Linked DNA regions of Lonchura striata. The protein of the gene in region 1 purifies or fractionates together with the protein of each later gene. This does not show direct contact. Links are inferred from orthologs where the notes say so. Each region holds a gene or a part of one and is shown on either strand. Other genes may lie near its edges. The genes, in order: LUZP1 and DAPK3.

Region 1 (11,111 bases):
TTCCAAAAACTAATAATTTTCAAAAAGTGTTCCTCTTGAGACTCTCCTCCTGTGTAACTGACCCTTGTGCAATCTCACAGACTACCCAAAACTTTCCATGCTTTTATTCCTAAGGAACAGAGTGTAATTGCCATTTCTGCTTCTACTCTGTTCTGTGCATGTAACTGGGAATTTCTTGCCAATTTGATACTTTCTGTCTGGGATTGTACATGCCACAACAGAAGTTGTCCATGGTCTCTGCAGTGATCATGTCTGTATATAAGATCAACAACACATGAAATAAGCTTTACAATGAGGCAAGGTGTGTGAACCAGGGAGTTTGTCTTGTGTGATGAGGTAACACATTATCCAATTCTACCACACTTTCTAACCTGAAAGGAAGAAATTGTGTGTGTATTTACAAGACATTAGTATTTCTGCTGTACATTATTAACCATTTATGTCGGCTGAGAAAGTTTCTGGAGAGCAGGATCTGATACTTGTATTTTCTATGGCCTGTATCTTACCCATGTGAAGCTGATAAAACCTGTAACTCTTGCAGATGTGTGACATGGCCTGACTATAATCAGCAGCAGGGCAGAGCAGCATAGCACAGACGTAAGTTATATGGATATTTAAGAAATGCTGCATTTGAATCTATGCTTTTGGTGAAGTGTAGAAAGGAAACAGTTTAGTTGAATTTATTATTACATATTTTATCATGAATAGAACAGCCAGTGAAGAAATGCTACAAAATAAATAGCATGAAAATTATTGATCTTATATTTCTGTCATTCTGGTTTTTTGAATGCATAAACTGAAATAGGAGAATATGGTTAGTGCCAGTGTGGAATGACTAGGACCTCATAAAATAGCTGTAAATTTCGCTCCTTGGTGATAAGATATGGGAAGTTAGAGAGGGGAGAATGAAGTGACACACCAAGGAAAACTTTCTTAGTAATTAGGTTGTTGGGGTGGATCTGGCATCCCTGTCTCTGGAATTCTTTAAGTACTGGTCAGACAAACTGTGCTCAGGAGTCACTGTCAGGACCCTCTGCTGGGGTCACAGAGCAGGTCCTGTCCAACATGCACTTCTCTGCCTCTGGGATTCCTTCCCTGGTTTGGCAGGTGGGAAGCTGGCACATGGAGGTCTTGGATGAAGTCTCAGACAAGACAGCACACCAAGTGGTGCAGCCCAAATGTCATGCAACGTTTTAGTCTCTGGGCATTTTACATCAGAATTGTCATGTCTATGCTGAATATGAAAGCCACACAAAGCCAGCATCCTTCTGACTGCCCTTCCATCTCTCAGCCTGCCCCAGTTCATCTCCACTGTCCACTGCTGTGGCCATCCCAACACACTCCACCACAGCTTGTCCACCACAGCTTTCAACCTTTCCTTTGCATTTGTAGCACAGCTTTGCTGCTTCTCCCTGTTACTGGTGCCTCTGCTGAGGATGGACCATAAAGTGATGCCCCATCACTATTGTAAATGCAGGCGAACCCAATGGGAAGAAATTATGATGTCTGACTCAATTCAGAAGGCTGAATTATTTCTTTATTATAACTATGCTAAAATTCATTAATATACTATATTAAAAGGAAGATACTAAAACTACATACTACTTTCTCGAACTCTAACACAACTCGTGACCCTGTCTCTGTCCAGCCCCAGGTGGGTTGGTTTGGCCATCAGGCTCAAACAATCCTCACCAGAATCCAACCAAGCACTCCAGGTAAACAATTCTCCAAGCACATTCCACATTGGAAAAACAAGAAGCAGAAATAGAAATGGTTTTCTCTTTCATTTCTCTCTGTGCACTTCTATGAAAAATCCTGAGAGGGAGAGAAATGTGCTGCCACACCAGGACCACCCACATGCTGCAGAGTCAGACAGAGCAGTTGTGTGGTCACAGTAGGGCAGTCCTCTCTCACAGAAAGCATTTAAGGCTGCTTTGTTTGGGACATGGCTCCTTTACCCTCCCAAAAGGGCACTGATCTAGCTCTATCAAGCTTAAGAGATTTGGGTGGTGCCACCACATGGCCGTGTCCACACAGTGTCCTCTCAAAGCGTGTCCACAGTGGCCACTGCCAGTGCAGGTTCTCCCTGGCTCACTCCTGAGCTGTGCTGCTGCATTGCCTGGGGACACGTGAGCTGACACAGGCCACAGCCCCCAGGGGACAGCTTGAACCATAAACCAGTGTGGGCAACTGAACTCCCACACCTGAGGCCAGTCCCTGTACTGCTCAATTTGCTGTTATAGCAGCAGTCAACGTTTCATCCTCCTCTGATGATGACAGCTGAAATGTTCACCTTTGGGCCAGTTTGTGATGACTTCCACGGTCTCTGAGTGATTCACCTGCTCAGTGTGAAACATAAAATTACAGATCATGGTCCTAGAAGGGCCTTTGAGAGGCTGGCTAGTCCATTCCCTGCCTGTATCAACTATGCTGTTGTTCTCTTCCTGTATTTCCTACTCTAGAAGATTTCCGATTATGAAGAGAATGGTAAAATACAGCATAGGAAGGTGATCCACCACTCTTCTTTGACACTGTTTAATTCAAGAGTAAACAAAGTAGGCCCTTTCTTTGGTTAGGTTATAGATTAATTTTAAAATGGACATGGTCTAATATTACACCATTCTTATTGTTAGTAAATATTTGATAGCATGCCTCAGTAATTTATATTGGAAAAAACAGTGATATGGAACTGGCAGATGAAAACACTTGCTAGAGATGATCATAAATTAAATAACACTCACAGCCTCTGAGTTGAAAGGAGGCCCTCATGTCACGGAGATCAATGTCCGTATTTACCATGTTTTACAACACTGTGAATTGCAGTCTAGAGCACACAAATGTATTTCACAGAAGGTACAGGAGGGCTGAGTGATATCTCAGTGCCTCTCCAGTGAAGCTCTAGCAATATTGAGCACAAAGGTAAGTTAAAACATGTTATGTTTGTATAAAAGTACATATTGATATGTCCAAGAAGATAGTTGTTTCAATGATATTGTAACATTTATTGAAAATAGAAGAAATAGCTAAATATATGTCAAAGTATGTGTGTTCACTGCAGCACCCTGCATTTAAATTCCAGTGCAGGTTATTCCTACAACCAGGGAAGAGGATGAATGTCAGCAATGTGGAGTTACCATGACAGAAGACTGGCAGGACAATGAACATGGAACATGATCACTCCTCCCAGGACAAACCTGAACCTTGCTACGTGAAAGAAATATGGTCATTGAAAGCCTGAGGGTTGAAGAAATCCCACCATGCCCACCAACTGGAAAACAGCTCCTTGTCAGTACAAAGGAACAAATGCAAAATAGGAACAAAATGCACAGAGGAACAAAAGAACAATATGTAAGACTACTTAAGTATATTGATGAACAGATCACATCTTCACAAACAAGCATGCCCAAAATTCCTCTTCCTGTTTTGTATACATAATGAGTCTATGATGTGATGGAAATGTTTTTGCAGAACAGGCTTTTTAACATGGTGTCAGAATGCTTTCATTGACAATTACGATCTTTTACGACTCTGATATTCTAACAAAAGGTATCTGTGAAGATGTGGTGCTTTGTATTTTCCTGTCTATTCCATAGCAGTTAATGATGGATAGACAATTTCAAATTTTGAACTACCATGGAAACTACTTGGTATCCTGCTTTTCTTTTTTGAGTTCACAACTCCCTCTGCAGTAAACCTTGCAAGTCCTTGAACAAACGTCAAGAGACACAGCTGTAGCTATGGTGCCAGTTTTGAAATTATATTGGCAAACACCCTTGGCATCCTTAAATGCACCCCTTCTGGCCCCATGTATAGACCTAAATTAGCTGACATTTTTAAGATGTCTGCTCCAGGAAGAGGTGAAACATCCCCTCATAATGCTTAATGACATTATTTACATTACCTATGCTGCAAGATTGAAATGAGACTTGTGCAGAAGAATCAGTGGTGGAGATGTCTGATGTATTCAGACAAACCCTACTCATAGTGTGTGTAAATCCTGTTTATGATTTCCAGCAATTGCCACTCCCCATCCTGGTGTTCTCCAGGTGTGTCAGGTTCTGGCTCCTTATGCAGCTGGTGAAGATGGATTTGAAAGCCCTTGGCTTGAGGAGATGGTGTTCCCAATGGACTGCACATGTTTTCTGACTGAGAGGAAGATAGCAGCAGGACAAACTAAAAAGACATCAACCCGTTTCCTATGTGCTGCAGCCTTCTCAGTGCTTTTGTTACCAAACCTTGATGTGGCTGCAGGCTTCTGTGGGGACTCATGGTGGCACCTAGCTGATTTGAGGAACAAGAAACAGTCATACACACAAAACCCCAAACCCAACAAAACTTACATTGCCATATAGACTGCTGATAATGATGTGAGACTAGCAAGCCATGCAGCACTTCTGTTCATACAAGCATGATTCTGTTTCTTTTTCCCTGCTTGCTGTGTTTAATACTGTTCCTAAACTCTGTGTGGCATCTAACACAACCAAGGCTCCAGCTCTGTCGGAGCCGTTAGAAATTAATTCAACAAACATCAGGATCTTATCATGAATCTGATCTTCTAAATACTTAAAACCCAAACACCTGGAATCAGGAGAATGTCCACTTCTAATTTGCAGAGAGAAGCAAGAACCACTGGCTTAGAAAACAGTGGGCTAATTCAACTCACTGTAGGTAGAGAAGTATTCACTCTGAGTTAGTTGTCTGCTTGTTTGATAAACAGAACAAATGCCAGAACTGGTGCAGAAGAAACAGCACATACAAGTAATTTTAGGAGGGACATTCAACTGCGTGTATCAGCAGCTGCAAGATCAACTCAGACACCTCACTTAAATTCACCATACAAGCAGAGGGAGTACAGAATAGCAATACCTGAAGAGTCAGTTCAGGGACCTCATGAACTGTAAGATGACTCAGGTAGACATTTTTAATAACCACTGAGAAATCTGCTCTCTGTAAGTTTGGCTAATCCCTTTTGAATCTCATGCCTCTGGTGTTCATGGCATCCTAGAGCCATCCACTTCTCACGTTATCAAGCTGTGCATAAGATGCATGAGTTACATTTATTTGTTTAAAGCTACTACACCCATATGGATCCTCTGTTGTCAGATACGCTGACAGCTTCTGCTGATTCCTCGTATAATTTGTGATTTTATTGTGTTTGTCATCTCTCCTTGCCCATCATCTCTGGTCACACCTGCCCACATTGCTTACACCCCACTCCCTCGGGACTATGCAGCCTTTCTATCAGTCATTGTGGGGACATCTGGGGAAAAAGTTTTCTACCAGTGGTGCTGGCACCCTGCTTTGGGTTTTGGAAATCCAGCACCCATCCTTCCAATCCAAGAGATAAGCATAGCAACCATGCCTCAGGCTTGGGTGAGTAAAATGCTCACTAAGGACTCAGAGACACTCAGCCTCTGTGCCACCAGATGCCAGCAGCACTGGCAGAGTGAACTGCTGCTCGAGGGAAAGCACAAGGTGTGAGGTAAATCCTGACCCACCCAGCATGAGTGATGGAGGGAGGTGACAGCTAACAAAATGAGCTGAGCTGATAAAGGAGGAGGAGAAAGAAGCCCCTCACCAAAGTGGCAACTGAACCAGCTGCCACGTGGGGTCTGTAGAATGAGGAAGAGAGTGAATAGAAACCAAATAAATGATAAATGTCAAATCTCTGGACCCAAGTGAGAGACAACCTGCCTGCTCTGTGTCCTGCAGAAGCTGCATGGCCGCAGCTGGTGGTACAGTGCCCGTGGCAACAAGGGTTGCCACTACCCAGGCTGGTGTTTCAAAGAAAAAAAGCTTAGTAGTGTGAGGTTAGACACTCAGAAATTTCTGTCCCGGGAAAGGAAATGATGTAGAGGAAAACTAAGGAAGCTCTGGCTGCTCTAAGATAAAGCAATATTTTTCTTTAATAATTATGGGGACTTAGTGCAGTCAGAGGAAGCTGCAGACAAAAGTACAGAAAGGGACAAGTGGAATGAGGGATGTTACAAGGTGAGGAGGCAGCTCCCCTTTTCCCCACTGTCCCCACAATGGTCAGTAGGTTCCGAGCCTGTCACGTCTCGCTGCCTGGCCGGGAGGCTGCAATTGCTCACCGGCCTCTGACACGTCTGCTGCGGACTCAGCTGGGCATGATGCTGTACAGAGCACCGGGCACGCTCCCGGTGTCCTTCGCCGCGCCACCCGCCCGGTCAGCTCCCGGGCTCGGCTCACCGCTCAGCCGCACCGGGAGCAGCTTTTCCCGGTTAGTGCTGGCGGAGGTCTCTTGTCCCTGATCCCATGTCGGCATCCCCGGCTGCAGGTACCAGAGGTGGAACCAACCGCAGCTGGGCTGACCACCAAGTCCAAAGTGTCCAAGAGATGGCACTAACGGGGGGATGCGGCGGGAGAGGAGGACAAAACCTCGCTGTGCCACCTGGCGCGGGGCTCCGCCCTGCTCCCAAAGAGCCGGGACCGGCACCGCCCGCCCCGACACCAAATCCCCGAGCCAGCGGCAGCCCTGGCCGCGTCCGCAGAAGGGGCTGTCCGGCAGGCTCCGGAGCACGAACCCTCCGAGAGCAGCGCCACCAAGCCCGCCCAGCTCCGCGCCGGGGCCTGGCGGAAAGTTTCCCCTCCCTGCCCCGAGCGCCCTCGGCCCCCCCAAAATGGCGGCGGGGCCCGCCCGCCTCTCAGGGCCGGGGGCGGGCGCCGCGGAGCTGCGGCGGCCGGGCCGGGCCGCAGCCCCCGCCCGCTGACGTCAAGCACCGCCCGGCCCCGCGGCCCTCCCCTCATTGTCAGCGCCCGCACCGCCGCCCGAGCCCCGGAGCCCCTCGCGGGCTGCGGCTGCCCAAGCCCGGGCTGGGAGGGAGCGAAGCCCGGCCGCTCCTGCTGCCCAGGTAGGCAGAGGTGGGCGATGAAGGGGCGGAGGGCGGGGGGTGCGGCGGACCGGCGGGGCGGGGAGGAATTTGAGGCATCCGCTTTGTCTGTGACCGCCGCCGCCTTCCCCGTCCCTTCCCGTGCGGGCGAGCGGTGCCTCCAGGCCGGGTGGCCCGCGGCGGCGGCGGGGACCCCCGCGGGAGAGCCGGCCCTGGGGCGCCCGCCGGGGCCTCGGCTCCCGCTCGGAAATGGAGCCGCCGTCGGGCTCCTTCCGACAGGACCGGAACAGCCGCTTTCCTGAGCGGAGATCGGCCCCGTCCCCGCCCGGGAAGGGCACGGTCCCACCGCTCCTCGCTGTAGCGAGCTGCCCGCAGGGAAGTTCCTAAACCCGTTGGCTGGGGCTTAGTTGAGATTTTGGAGGTTTCCAGGCACTTAACGCGTTTTCTGTGAATAACCTTTTTTTTTTTTTTCCTTGCTGCAGCCACATACTCCCTTTCCTGTTGCTTATTTTTCCTGAATTCCCCCTTCTTTCCCAGCCCGCCCACGTTTAGCAAATAATTCATAACGTTCTTTTATATACATGCTTTTCTGATGCTCTGACTTTGTTAATTACTTCAGTCTTCTTTGCTCCCCCGTCGTGAGGGAATTAATTGATGGAGCATTGTGAAACTTTTCTTTGCCTCTTTCAAAAATTTCTGAAACCTCCCTCGTTTGGCTTTGTCAGGTGTCCCATGTGCCGGCATGTGAAGCCAGTGGCACAGCAAACCTTTGCTTGTTGTCCTTGGTGATTGTGCTTTCATTGCAAATCTGTATTTTTCCCCCCTTGTAATGCTACATTTGAAGCCTTTAAACCAATTAAACACTAGTTAAAGTTACCATCCCAACTAATCAGCACTTTTGAGTTAGGTGCTGTGGGATTAAGTTTTAAGTGGTGCGTAAATTCTGTTAAAATGTTCCACAAAAATCGGGGGAAGGAGTGCTCATCACTGCCGCGTGTGCTGGGCTTGTTGCTTATCGAGTCTCTCGCCGAGAGCCGCTGGGGTGGGTGGGCGCCTCTCACCACAGTGATGACAGTGGGAAGGGGGAATTTTACAACCTGGAATCGTCTGTGGCATTCCGTGTTTAGAGGGAAAAAATGCAGTGACTTCCCACATGCCTACAGCCTCATGGCAGAGGTATGCGTCTGCTGACCTGCAGGACGGTGCGGGAGGCGTCGTTCCCAGTGTTACAGTCTGTGCGAGTACAGAACCAGCAGCTCTGTGCTCCGGTCAGTTTGTGCAGCCAGTAGCCAGCTGCCATATTTCGGCAGGGACAGCGTGCTCTGTGGCTGGTTTGCATCTGCGGCACACTTGCAGAAGTGTAATTCCTCCATTGTGGAGGAATTTCACTTGTGCAGGGACCTGGTGTGCAAGACACCTCCTGGGCATGGGACGCCTGGGGCTGCTCAGGGCACCCAGCCCTCTGTAGCACTGCAAGGAGGAGGAGGACGTGGAGAGCTGATTGCTGTGTTTCTTTTGGATATGCGTCTGAAAGTTCCTGGGGGAAGGAATGAGTTGGGGTAAAGGGAGTGTGGGAGAGCAGCACAATTCAAGAGTAATCAGGTCCCCATTAACTAGCCCCTGCATCTCCTGATCTAAGTAGTTCTTCAACCTCAGGTTCCTCATATTGCTATGAAATAGTAACGTTTCTGCACTCCAGTACAGGTGAGTCTGAACAATGCTGACTTCCTAAGAAGTAGGAATAAGTTACAAGAGCACAGACATTTCTCTAGTCTTCTGGCTGTGTTCTGAAAATTGCCCAGCTTAGAGTAAGTTGATGATTTTCTTTATTTTATACGAGGCTAGGAACTGTAGGCAAAAAATAACTTGTGTTAAAAAAGAGAACTCTCAAATGTGGCTGTTACAAGAAATTATAATATTTAAAAACCCAGTATGCCTTGCAGTCTAGTCCACATTATTTTCTATGTTCAAATGGATTGGTGATTACAACTTTGAGCATGATGTTAGCAGAGTATTGTAGCCAGGGACTCTAAAGGCTGTGCATGTCCTCCATGAAACATTTCCTTCCCACTGTGGGCTGCAGTTGGTGAGGAACCAGAGGTCTCTTTCTTGATGGGAGTTTTTCAGAAAGTATGGCTGGCATTACTGAGCAAAATGACAAAGAAGGACAATTTTGATACAATTGTTACACTAAAATGAAGCATAAAATCTCTTTAGGAGGTTGTTTTTATTGGAAGATTCCCACGAGGGTGATGATTTGCTGCAGTAATACGTTTTACACTAACTAGTGGATTGCAGATCATGGGAGCCCTTAAAACATGTTGGAATGGAGAACCTTTGTTGTGATGATTATGGCATGGTTACATACATCCTCACACGTCTAAGGCCTGCTGTACAGACTTTTTGCCTTGGGTAATGCTTGTATTCACACACATGAAGTAGAAAGCATGAAAGTTTTCCAGTACTTGGTGACAGCTGATGAGCAGGTGTTGCTTGCCAGCACTTCTTGCATTCCTAAAGCTGGTGGTTGGCTTTGTCCTTCCATACTGTTATTCTTCTCTCTGCTTTCAATGGGCTGAGTCTTTGGAAGGCTTTAGTCTTTTAACTTGATCTCTTCTTCTCTCTGTAGCCACCAAAGGTATGATTATTCTCCCTGTCCAATCTCATCTGTTTGCCAGGGTAACACAGGCTGTGGCAGCCTTCTCCTGGTGGTGACTGCAGCCACTCACTGCACACACTGTTGATAGTTACATCCCTCTGGATTTGAGGTTTGGGGCTGGTGACAGAATCAGTTTGGTAGAAAACCCACAAACCATTTGCCCTTAACTGTCCAGATTTAGGAGCCTTCCTAACCACCATGACTGAGAAGGCATGCCAGGCATGCCATTCCTGTGAAGTTGGTGGGGTTTGGGTTGATTCAGCAGCCTGAAAACCAGTGTTTTTGAAATGATCAGATATAAAGTGTGGCATTGGATGTCAGCCATAAGAATGTGGCCTTAATGCTTTTGTGTCTGTGGTGGTGTCTTAGGTTTTGGCAATGATGTTCCCCTGCTGGGGCCCTAATCTGGGCAGATAAGGGGTTGTAAGGATACCTCAGCCCTGTGTGCTTTAACCCTCACCAGGGTGGAGTAAAATATGCAGGTGCAACACACAGCTTTACCTGAGCGTGACAGCAGCATGCACAGAAGCATGTGAAAGCTGTGCACAGGCAGTTTCTATTTCCTTTTCTATAAAAGAAAGCTGAGAATATTTTGGTGCTTTGTTGCAATAGTTGTGCAGCAAATGTAACATTTGTGTTCCAAACGTTTTAATTTCACATAGAAACACAGTACAGAAAGGTGAATGCACCCTGCGAGTGATGGGCTGAAAGGAGAAGGGGGTGTTTAGAAAAAAAAGAGTTTTAATGTTGTACTTGGCACTTAGCCTGCTCTGCAGCCTTGTCTCTTCTTGTAGTAAAGCCCCCTTAGGATCCAGCCCAGTAACCCCAGGAATTAAATGTATCACTTCCTTGCTTAGGAACAAGGTTGCCAACACACAGGTATAATGTATAAGAACACATAAGATGGTAAGTTTATTTCTGTGTGGCAGTGGGTGGATGAGAGTGTCTGCTTGCTTTTATCAAGTTGGAGGAGAGATAGATTTTCACATCCTCTTCAGTCATGGATCTGGGAAGTGCTACATCAGTGCAGGTGGGCACTGTGCCTGGAGGAGGTGGGTTTGCCTTTCCCCTTGTCCTAACCACTTTCTCCTCCAAATGCCCTGTCTAGCCCTACCCAAGCTGACAAAAACTTCATGCAGTTGTGTTCAGAGAGTTGATCTGGTGAAAATTAACCATCAGCCTCCCCCCACTCCCTTTAACCCTGCCCAATTCCCAGCCTGGCTGCGGGGCTGCTTTACTCTGGCCAAGGGAGGGGAGCATGAGGCTAGAAGGAGGCAGGCACAGTACAGGGCCACCTGAAAATTACTATAAAACTTAAGTTTGAGGATCTGGCCAAAAGTCTGTGAGGTCACTTTTGCAGTAATAGCATCCCTTGAGCATCTCAGCATTGTTGTCTGCCTTGAGGTCTCTGTCACCACCATGCTTTCACAGTGAGTTTGGAAGTGCTACCTTTGCAAAGTTCCTGCTCACACAAAGTGCTGCCCAGGTTTGGGCAGAGGAGTAGAGATATATTTAGAGGACTTCAGTGGAAAAATTTTTTACTTTTATTAAGTCCCAATCTTTTTTTGTCCCTGTTTGTCAGAGGTTCATTGGATTGAGCA
Region 2 (10,607 bases), on another chromosome or scaffold:
GAGTTTGATGCGAGGGTTTGGCACGTTCTTGTCCAGCAGCATGATGTTCTCTGGCTGTGGGGGGAGAGGAGCTGGCTCTGTCCCTGCACCAGCCTGGGGGAGCTGCCCTGGGCTCCTCATTCCAGGGCAGAGGGCGAGTGCCTCGAGCTGGGAGAGATCCCAAGCACCAGCCCCACTGCAGTGCAGGAGTGCTGAACTGAGCCCCACTCCTCGGTGCTGGCTTCCAGAGCCCATCTGGGGGCTCATCCATGCTCCCAGAGCTGAACACGGAGTGTCTGCAGCTCTCAGAGCCCATCTGGGGGCTCATCCATGCTCCCAGAGCTGAACACGGGGTGTCTGCAGCTCCCAGAGCCCACCTGGGACTCTATCCCTGTTCCCAGTGGGGTGCCTGCAGCTCCCAGAGCCCACCTGGGGGCTCATCCATGCTCCCAGAGCTGAACACGGGGTGTCTGCAGCTCCCAGAGCCGAACACGGAGTGTCTGCAGCTCCCAGAGCCCACCTAGGGGCTCATCCCAGCTCCAGTGGTGTGCCTGCAGCTCCCAGAGCCTACCTGGGGGCTCATCCCTGCTCTCAGAGCCCACCTGGTAGTTTATCCCTGCTCCAGTGGGGTGCCTGCAGCTCCCAGAGCCCACCTGGGAGTTGACCCCTGCTCCCAGAGATGAACACAGGGTGTCTGCAGCTCCCCGAGGCCACCTGGGGGCTCATCCCAGCTCCAGTGGTGTGCCTGCAGCTCCCAGAGCCCACCTGGGGGCTCACCCCTGCTCCCAGAGCTGAACACAGGGTATCTGCAGCTCCCAGAGCCCACCTGGGAGTCTATCCCTGTTCCCAGAGAGGTGTCTGCAGCTCCCCGAGCCCACCTTCAAGTCGAAGTGGGCGATGCGCTTGGAGTGCAGGTAGTGCACGCCGTCCAGGATCTGCTTGAGGAACTGGGTGGCCTCCTCCTCAGTCAGGGACTCCTTCTCGGCCAGGAAGTCGAAGAGCTCCCCGCCGGACACCAGCTCCAGGATGAGCACCACGTCGGTCTTGTTCTCAAAGATGTCATGCAGGGTGATGATGTTGGGGTGCTGGATCTCGCGCAGGATGTCCACCTCGCGCTCGATCTCCTCGCGGCTCACGCCCCGGCGGCTGGACGACAGCCGCCGCTTCTTGATGAACTTGGCCGCGTACTCCAGGCCCGTCTGCCTCTCCCGGCACTTGCGGACGATGGCAAACTGCCCGCTGAGGAGAGAGAGGAGAGGAGAGGAGAGGAGAGGAGAGGAGAGGAGAGGAGAGGAGAGGAGAGGAGAGGAGGAGAGGAGAGGAGAGGAGAGGAGAGGAGAGGAGAGGAGAGGAGAGGAGAGGAGAGGAGAGGAGAGGAGAGGAGAGGAGAGGAGAGGAGAGGAGAGGAGAGGAGAGGAGAGGAGAGGAGAGGAGAGGAGAGGAGAGGAGAGGAGAGGAGAGGAGAGGAGAGGAGAGGAGAGGAGAGGAGAGGAGAGGAGAGGAGAGGAGAGGAGAGGAGAGGAGAGGAGAGGAGAGGAGAGGAGAGGAGGAAGAGGGGAGAGGAAGAGGGGAAGGGGAAGAGGGGAAGAGGAAGAGGAGGAAGACGAGGAGGAGGAGAGGAGAGGAAAAGAGGAAGAGGACGAGGACGAGGACAAGGAAGAGGAAGAGGAGGAAGACGAGGAGGAGGAGGAGGAGGAGGAGGAGGAGGAGGAGGAGGAGGAGGAAGAGGAAGAGGAAGAGGAAGAGGAAGAGGAAGAGGAAGAGGAAGACGAAGACGAGGAGGAGGAAGAGGAGGAGGAAGAGGAGGAGGAGGAGAAGAGAGGAGAAGAGAGGAGAAGAAGAGGAAGAGAAGAGGGAGAAGAAGAGGAAGGGGAAGACAAAGGGGAAGACAAAGGGGAAGGGGAAAGGGAAGAGGAAGAGGAAGAGGAAGAGGAAGAGGAAGAGGAAGAGGAAGATTAGAGGAGTATTGTAAGTGCAGCTGAACCCAGATGGCAGAAATGACAATGTCTGACTGCAGAAGGCTGAACGATTTTTTTATTATAACTATACTATAATACATTAATATCCTATTTAAAGGAGCAACTCCTGCAAGTTCCTCTGCTTTGAAAAATAACCCCACCTAAGTGATCCAAAACGGTTTTGCTGCCCAAACGGCCGAGGAGGAGCCACGGCGTGGGGCGGGCACAGACGAGGCAGCTCCCCCACCGCCGCCCCTGCGTCCCGGCTGATTAAATCCCATCTGCGGGCTCTGAGTCACCCTGGATCCCTCCCACAGGCGCCGGGCCAGCTCAGGCACCGAGGAAGGCCGGAAGCCGCCAGCCCCGGACGGCAGCAGCGTTAATTAACGCTTTTTTTGTTAATCTCTATCGGCTAGAGCTGCCTGGCTCTGCACAGCCCCAGCTCTGCTGCCTGCGGAGGGGGCACAGGGACCCCGCAGGGATCCACAGCCGGATCCAGCCGAGCTCCCGGCAGCCGTGGGAGCCCCCCGAAGGCAGCGGGATGTCCCTCACCTGCCCAGCTCCTCGCCCATCTCATAGAAGTCCTCCACGCTCTCCTGGCGGAAGGTGGACATGGCTGCGGGGCCCTCTGCAGCCGGCGCCGGGCGTCAGGAGCGGGGAGCAGCCGGGGGGATCAGCGCCTGTGGCAGGGGGAAAAAGGGGGGCTGTGTCCTCGGAGCTCACAGCAGCACCGGGAAAAAGGGGGGCTGTGTCCCCGGGGCTCACAGCAGCACCGGGAAAAAGGGGGGCTGTGTCCCCGGGGCTCACAGCAGCACCGGGAAAAAGGGGGGCTGTGTCCCCGGGGCTCACAGCAGCACCGGGAAAAAGGGGGGCTGTGCCCCCGGGGCTCACAGCAGCACCGGGAAAAAGGGGGGCTGTGTCCCCGGGGCTCACAGCAACACCGGGAAAAAGGGGGGCTGTGTCCCCGGGGCTCACAGCAACACCGGGAAAAAGGGGGGCTGTGTCCCCGGAGCTCACAGCAGCACCGGGAAAAAGGGGGGCTGTGTCCCCGGGGCTCACAGCAGCACCGGGAAAAAGGGGGGCTGTGTCCCCGCGGCTCACAGCAGCTCCCAGCACAAGCACCCCGAGTCCCGGGGATGTGCCCCGGTCTCACCACATCCCAAAACTCAGGGGACAGGGAAGGGAAGGGAAGGGAAGGGAAGGGAAGGGAAGGGAAGGGAAGGGAAGGGAAGGGAAGGGAAGGGAAGGGAAGGGAAGGGAAGGGAAGGGAAGGGAAAGGAAGGGGGCCACAGCCTTTCCCTGCCCCACAGCCCACCCCCAAAACCCCCCAAACCCCACACCCACTCTCCTCCAAATCCCTCCCCATCCCTTTCCTGCCTCACAGCCCCTCCCCACCCCAATCCCTCTCACACCCCCAGTCCCTCCCCATCCCTTCCCTTCTCCACATCCCCCCACCCCAATCCCTCCCCCTCCTTTCCCAGCCCCACGGCTCCTCCCAATCCCGATCCCACAGGCCCCACAAATCCCAATCCCTCCCCACCCCAAAATCTCCCCAAACCCCACACCCACTCTGCTCCCAATCCCTCCCCACCCCAAAATCCCCCCAAACCCCCCACCCACTCTGCTCCCAATCCCTCCCCACCCCAAAATCCCCCCAAACCCCCCACCCACTCTGCTCCCAATCCCTCCCCACCCCAAAATCCCCCCAAACCCCCCACCCACTCTGCTCCCAATCCCTCCCCACCCCAAAATCCCCCCAAACCCCACACCCACTCTGCTCCCAATCCCTCCCCACCCCAAAATCCCCCCAAACCCCACACCCACTCTGCTCCCAATCCCTCCCCACCCCAAAATCCCCCCAAACCCCACACCCACTCTGCTCCCAATCCCTCCCCACCCCAAAATCCCCCCAAACCCCACACCCACTCTGCTCCCAATCCCTCCCCACCCCAAAATCCCCCCAAACCCCCCACCCACTCTGCTCCCAATCCCTCCCCACCCCAAAATCCCCCCAAACCCCACACCCACTCTGCTCCCAATCCCTCCCCACCCCAAAATCCCCCCAAACCCCACACCCACTCTGCTCCCAATCCCTCCCCACCCCAAAATCCCCCCAAACCCCCCACCCACTCTGCTCCCAATCCCTCCCCACAGCCGCCCCCATCCCTCCCTTCCCCACCCCGCCCCACAGGCCTCATCCCCCACACACCCCTCCCCGCGCCATCGCTCCCTCCCCAGCGCAGCCAGCCGCACTCCCTCACCCCTCCGGGACCCGCAGAGCCCCGCACCTCCCCGCCCGGCCCCACATCTCCCCTCACGGCCCCTCACGGCCACCGGCCCCTTCCCAACCTGGGCCGCCGCCGCCGCCGCCACATTCCACCACAGCAGGCCCCGCCCACCCCGCGAAAACCACGCCCCTCCATGAAACCCCGCCCACATCCACACAAACCACGCCCCTCCATGAAACCCCGTCCACATCCACACAAACCACGCCCCTCCATGAAACCCCGCCCACATCCACACAAACCACGCCCCTCCATGAAAGCCCCGCCCACATTTACGCAAACCACGCCCCTCCATGAAACCCCGCCCACTTCTCGCAAACCCCGCCCACTCCGCACCATCCATGTCCAAGCCCCGCCCCAGGTGGGCGGGGCCAATGGCGGCACCACCCCTTCGCCCCCACCAGAGGGCGCCACTCTCGCCCTTAGAATCACCCCCAAAAATTCCATTTTTCGTCACCATTTATCCAATTTTATTAATTCCAGTGGCACTAATACAGGCGGCGATGGGCACGACGGACAGTCACGCTGCAGATAAGGCATCCTCACCCTGTCTCTCTTTCCCCCCCATTTTTCTTGACCTCTTGAAGCACGCCCCACTTCCTTCCAGGCCCTTCTGCAGCAGTATTTTTTTTTTTTTTTGAATCAAATAAATACAGAATTGGGCAGATCTAGTGGAAATGTTTTAGTTACAATGGCAAAGATGAGTCATGTGCAACACAGAAACCTATAAGGCTTTTTTTTTGTTTGTTTTCCTCATTTGAAGTTCTCAAAATTGCTATGAAACCCATTTAATTAACAAGATGGTGGTCAAGGGCGTCTACCCCTGGCGGCATGGGTGATAACGCTAATTAATTAAATTTTTCCTGCTCTCCCAGAGTTCCATGAGTCTCATTAGAGTTTGTCCAGGAAGTTGTCGAGGGCAGGGATTCCTTCCTTCAGCCCTTTGCGTTTGCGGGTCTCGGCCACCACCTGGCACGGCTTGCTGGTGCTGTCGAAGGGGTCCCCGGACAGGATCTGCCAGTGGTCGAAGACGCACTGGGGGAAGGCCTGGCCCCCTGTGTTGGACCTCAAATCTGCTGTGAAACCTGCGAGGGACGAGACAAAAAGTGAGGCAGGACAGGAGTGGTCATGGTTCAATGTTGTTTCCGTGGTTAGAGCAGAGGAACCCAGAGCAGCTCTCAAAAGCCTCCTGAGATCCCAACCAATGTGAGGTGGGGATGGAAAAAAGGCTCCAGGAAGAACTTAAGAAATCCTTCCAGTGCCTAGAACTGGAGGGAGACTTTGGACAAACATATGGAAGGACAGGACAGGGAATGGCTTCCCGCTGCCCGGTGGGATACTGAGAAGGAATTCTGCCCTGGGAGGGTGGGGAAGGGCTGGGATGGAATTCCCAGAGCAGCTGTGGCTGCCCCTGGATCCCTGGAAGTGCCCAAGGTCAGGCTGGAGCAGCCTGGGACAGTGGCAAGTGTCCCTGCCATGGCAGAGGCAGCACTGGAAGACCCTGACTTCCAACCCAAAATGTTCTGCAACTTTGGTCTCTTCCAGGCAACAAGTGAGAAGAAACACCCCTAAGCTGTAGCAAGGGAGGGCTGGAGATTTCTAGGCAAGTTTATTCTCCAGAAGGATGGTCAAGCACTGGCACAGCTGCTCAGGGCAGTGCTGGAGTCCCCCTCCTCCCTGGAGGGCTTTCAAAGCCTCTGAAGTGTGGATGTGGCACTTGGGGACATGGTTCAGTGTCACAGTGCTGGGTGAACAACTCAACCCGAGGATCCCTTGAGGTCCTCGCCAAGGCTCTCCCTGCCAGGAGGGCTCCAGGACTCACCGAAGGACTCGTTGACAGGCAGGTAGGCCTTGACCACGAACATGGGGGTCCCAGCCACCTGGGCCTCCTCAAACACGTGGCCACGCTTCTTGTTCAGCACGCTGTAGATGCCTCCCACCACCTGCTCCGGGCACTGCAGGAGAGACTGGAGTCAGGACTGCGCCCACCCGCCGTCCCCCCTTCCCCTGGGGCTGGCAGGGGCTCCTCACCTGTCACAGTGAGCTCATGGGCACACTGTGCCCCCTTCCCTGGGACTCTGATCAGATAACCCTGGACCCTCCTTCCTGCCCTGACAGGGTTGGCAGAGAGCCAGGGAAGCCCACCCTGCCCAAAGTCTGTATAGACCCCTGACATTTCCTTTTTGTGCTCTTTTGCCCCGCTCTCCACATGGACATCACAGAATAAAGAGAGCTGAACCAACATATTTTGGGGTAAGAGCCTCTTTTGGAAATCTTTGCCATCTCCTGATATTCCTCCCCTCACAGCCTGCTTACCTCCGAGCTAGCCTAGGATATTTTGGGGGCTGTGTGAGGGTGGGGAAGGTCACTCACCTGGATCTCCACCAGGTAGATGGGCTCCATGAGGCGCGGCTGGGCGGTGAGCACGCAGGCGTAGAGGCAGCGCCGGGCCGTGGGGATGATCTGGCCGCCGCCGCGGTGGATGGCGTCGGCGTGCAGGGTCACGTCGTGCACGTCGAAACGCACGGCGCGCATGTTCTCCTCGCACAGCACCCCCTGCCAGGGCACAGCGGGGTCACTCCGTGGCCCCTGATGGGGTGCTGCTCGCCTGGCTCCCAGGAGGAGCTCTGTGGAAGCAGCTCCCACCCAGGAGCCACTCGACCTCCTTGCTGAAGGATGAGCCTCCAAACCTACAAAGGCTGGACTCTAGGTCTTTCCCAACCTAAGGGTTCTGTGGAGCACCAGCTCGCAACCCCTGTGCCACCACTGCGGCAGCCTCGTGATCAGCTCTGAGGTTCAAGCCTCAACAGCTGTCACACGTTTATGGTGCTGAAACCCAAGTATTTGGCCAAGGGAAATGGGGATTTTTTTGTCTTGGTAATGTCACAGAAGTTGTTGGCTTGGAATCACCTTCAGACTGAAACTAGGTGGTACACAGGAAAATGAATTCCTCCTCTTGCTGTTCCCAGTCTGTCATCTTACCCTACAGTCCTCTCCTGTCTAATCCTGAAAATAATCCCTGTCGAGGCCCTCAGACCACTTTCCCTCCTGCCGTTATTCCCTGAACTGCTAAGATGTTCCATTTTGCTCCACGATAAGCATAACAAAAGCACAGATGTGAGGAACCACGGATGCCACCCAGCCCAAGCCGCCGTCCCTCACCTCCTTGGTGGCCCACTGGAAGCCGGCCACCACGCTGTCCTTGATCTCGTTGAGGTACTGCACCCCCTTGGTGATGTCGGTGAGGATGTTGGGGCCGGTGCCGTCGGGCCCGAAGCACCAGATCTTCCTGGCCTCGGTGACGTCCCACTCGTACTTCTCGGCCAGGTACCGCGCCCGCTGCTTCAGCTCCTGCCGGGCCGACACCTCGCCCTTGTCGATGTCCTCGGCCAGGCCCTCGGGGAAGGGCCGGGCCTTCATGTACAGCCGGTTGTGTTTGTTGGGGGACTTGGAAAGGCACATCACGCTGGACTCCTCGCTGACCGTCTCGCGGTAGGACACCACGGGGTCGGATTTCTGCGGGGACAGAGCGCGGCGTGAGGCACCAAAGCGGCCAAACCCCCACCACGAGCTCAGCCAGCACGCAGCCTCCTCTCTACCTTAATGGGGATGCAGGCGTGGTCCTCCTCCAGGTCCTTCAGGCAGATCTCCAGGTGCAGCTCCCCAGCGCCAGCGATGATGTGCTCCCCAGACTCCTCAATGATGCACTGGGAACACCAGGAACAGCAGGTGAAGCTTCAGAACGAGCCACATGCACAAGCAACTTTCTGTGTTTTTAGTGCTTGACCCAAAGAGCTACTTCTACATGTTCCCCCCACTCATCCCCTCTGTGTTTTTTGTTTGAAAAAAAAAAAAAAAACCACTTAAGTGACCCAAAACACTTTTGCTGCCCAAATGCCCGAGGAGGAGCCACGGTGTGGGGCGGGCATGGCCAAGGTAGCGCTGGAGGATCCCAAGGCAGCTACTTCTACATGTTCTCCCCACTCATCCCCTCTGTGTTTTTTGTGTTTGAAAAAAAAAAAACAACATTTAAGTGACCCAAAATGCTTTTGCTGCCCAAATGCCCGAGGAGCCATGGTGTGGGGCGAGCACAGCTGAGGCAGCACTGGAGGATCCTGAGGCAGCTACTTCTGGATGTTCTCCCCACTCATCTGGGGGTGTCGCAGCACCAAGCCAGGGTGCAAGGCAGGGACCAACACTCAACTCAAGGCTTCCCCAGGATGGAAGCAGCACCCCTGGATCCATTCTGGCCACTCACCTGCACCATGGGGTCAGACTTGGCCAGGCGCTTCAGCCCCTCCACCAGCTTGGGCAGGTCGGCCGGGTTCTTGGCCTCCACGGCCACGCGCACCACGGGGCTGACGCTGAACTTCATGACCCTCATGTTGTGGGCGTGCTCGAAGGTGGTGATGGTTCCAGTCTTCACAAGGAACTGGTCCACGCCGACCAGCCCCACGATGTTCCCGCAAGGCACGTCCTCGATGGGCTCCACGTAGCGGCCCATCATGAGAATGGTCCTAAAGGGAAAGGTGGATTAGTGAGGCTGGGAAGGGGAGGAGACCCCACTCAGCCCACAGCCAAGAACCTTGACAAGCCTCAGACATGAGAAGAGACCTGAGACAGCATCAGAATCCCTCGACAGCCCAGCCAGGACACACCTTTGAATTGGCTTCAGGTACAGATCCTCCTTCTTGCCAGGTGTGTAGTTTGGTCCCATGATTCTGACTTTCAAGCCAGTAGAGACGAGACCAGAGAAGACACGGCCAAAAGCGTAGAAACGTCCCTTGTCAGAGGTTGGCACCATTTTGGAGATGTACATCATCAGGGGGCCTTTGGGGTCACAGTTCTTAATGCCTGGGAGGGGGACAGACCAGCTTAGCACAGAGGTATCGATGTATCTGGCACCCACCCCAAAACCCCAACTCAAGACCTGCACCCACTGTCCCAGCCCAAGGGCTTCTGTCTGGGCTAGAGAAAACGGAGAATGGCTCCCACTGCCAGAGGGCAGGGATGGATGGGATATTGGGAAGGGATTGTTCCCTGGGAGAACACACAGGGTGCCCAGAGCAGCTGTGGCAGCTCCTGGATCCCTGGCAGGGCCCAAGGCCAGGTTGGATGGGGCTTGGAGAAGCCTGGGGCAGTGGAAGATGTCCCTGCCTGGTCAGGAGATGGGGCTGACCTTCAAGATCTCTTCCAAACCAATCTATTCTGAGATTCCATGGAAGATCTTATCACCAACAAATGTTTTTAACAGAGGTTCAGATGGACCCTCTGGCTACTCTGAGATTACTCAGCCAGCTGAGTGCTCCAGAACAGAGCTGTGAGCCACTAAAACTGTTTGATCCATGCTGGAAAAGCTACAGACTCAATTCCAGACACTCCTGAGCTGTGCACGTGGAGAACAAACTGGTTACAGGCATGCTGGAGCCGAGGCCGGGCAGCAGAGCAGCTCATCCTTCATCCTACCTATGGCAGCCTCATCGTCAGGGGGGCCCTCGTAGAGCAGCTCGCAGCGATACTTCTGGGCTGTGACGGGGGAAGGCAGGTGGATGGTGATCATCTGCAGCAGGGCATCTCCAGCTGGCAGCCACCGCCTCATCACAGCCTGGGCAGAGCAGCAGGACCCAGTCAGAGTGTTCACAACAGGGGTTCACCTCCCCGTCCTTCCCCACCTCCCAAGCAAGTTGATGTTGACACAGCTGGAGCAGCACTGCTCAGCTGCTCCCCAGAGGACTCAGACCAGCCTCACCTTCAGCAGGGGTTTGCCCTCCTTGTCCTTGTCCTCACTGTCCAGCTTGATGTCCAGTTTCTCAATCAGTTTAGCCGCCTCTTCTTTCTTGAAGTTCATGATTGCATCGAAAACCTGCGACAAGAGCAGCCCTTGGAGCGCCGCCGTGACCCCGTCTGGAGCAACTGCACCACCGCCCCTGCAGAGAATTCCTGCTCCTCCTCAGCACCCAGCTCCCCCAGGAGACACAGCCCCTGTGCCCCAGAGCAGCCAGGTGTGTCAGACAGCTGAATTTCTTCAATCAAACACGTCAGGTCAAAGTGAAGAAATTTTCCATCATCACGCACGGAACAGAAGCGCAGAGCAGGAGGCGCCGGCCAAGGAGGAACCCTGAGGAACTCACCTTGAAGATGGGGTCAAGGATGAGCTGACAGAAGGTCCTGGGCAGTTTCTTTCCATCAGGGCTGGTGGCAGATTTGCTGAACTTGCCAGTAGCAGGGTCAAAGTATCTACAGAGAGAAGGAAATTGGACAAACATCCTTGCTCAGGTCAGCTACAGACACACAGCGTGTTCTGCCTGCTCAGGGCAGAGCCAAGGGCTGCTGAGGAAGAGCCATTTCCTGCTTTCCCCCTCATCCAGCTTTCCAGCACTTACCA

The links.
Region 2: the proteins of LUZP1 (region 1) and DAPK3 purify together in Homo sapiens (affinity purification with mass spectrometry; 3 studies listed by BioGRID and IntAct, with this or other methods). This does not show direct contact. The link is inferred for Lonchura striata from reciprocal best matches to the Homo sapiens genes LUZP1 and DAPK3.

What each region holds. Positions count from the first base shown.
Region 1 is NC_134628.1:5,227,311-5,238,421, reverse strand, and holds the start of LUZP1 (leucine zipper protein 1), read left to right. Parts: upstream 1-6,744; 5' UTR 6,745-6,872; intron 6,873-11,111. Other genes in the region: HTR1D (5-hydroxytryptamine receptor 1D), read left to right, coding at 1-39.
Region 2 is NC_134630.1:6,837,711-6,848,317, reverse strand, and holds the start of DAPK3 (death-associated protein kinase 3), read right to left. Parts: upstream 4,381-10,607; 5' UTR 4,287-4,380; intron 2,618-4,286; 5' UTR 2,552-2,617; coding exon 2,490-2,551; intron 1,219-2,489; coding exon 858-1,218; intron 55-857; coding exon 1-54. Other genes in the region: EEF2 (elongation factor 2), read right to left, coding at 5,114-5,307, 6,045-6,177, 6,596-6,778, 7,385-7,738, 7,822-7,929, 8,481-8,739, 8,881-9,076, 9,689-9,827 and 2 more. UniProt on the Homo sapiens protein: Serine/threonine kinase which is involved in the regulation of apoptosis, autophagy, transcription, translation and actin cytoskeleton reorganization. Involved in the regulation of smooth muscle contraction.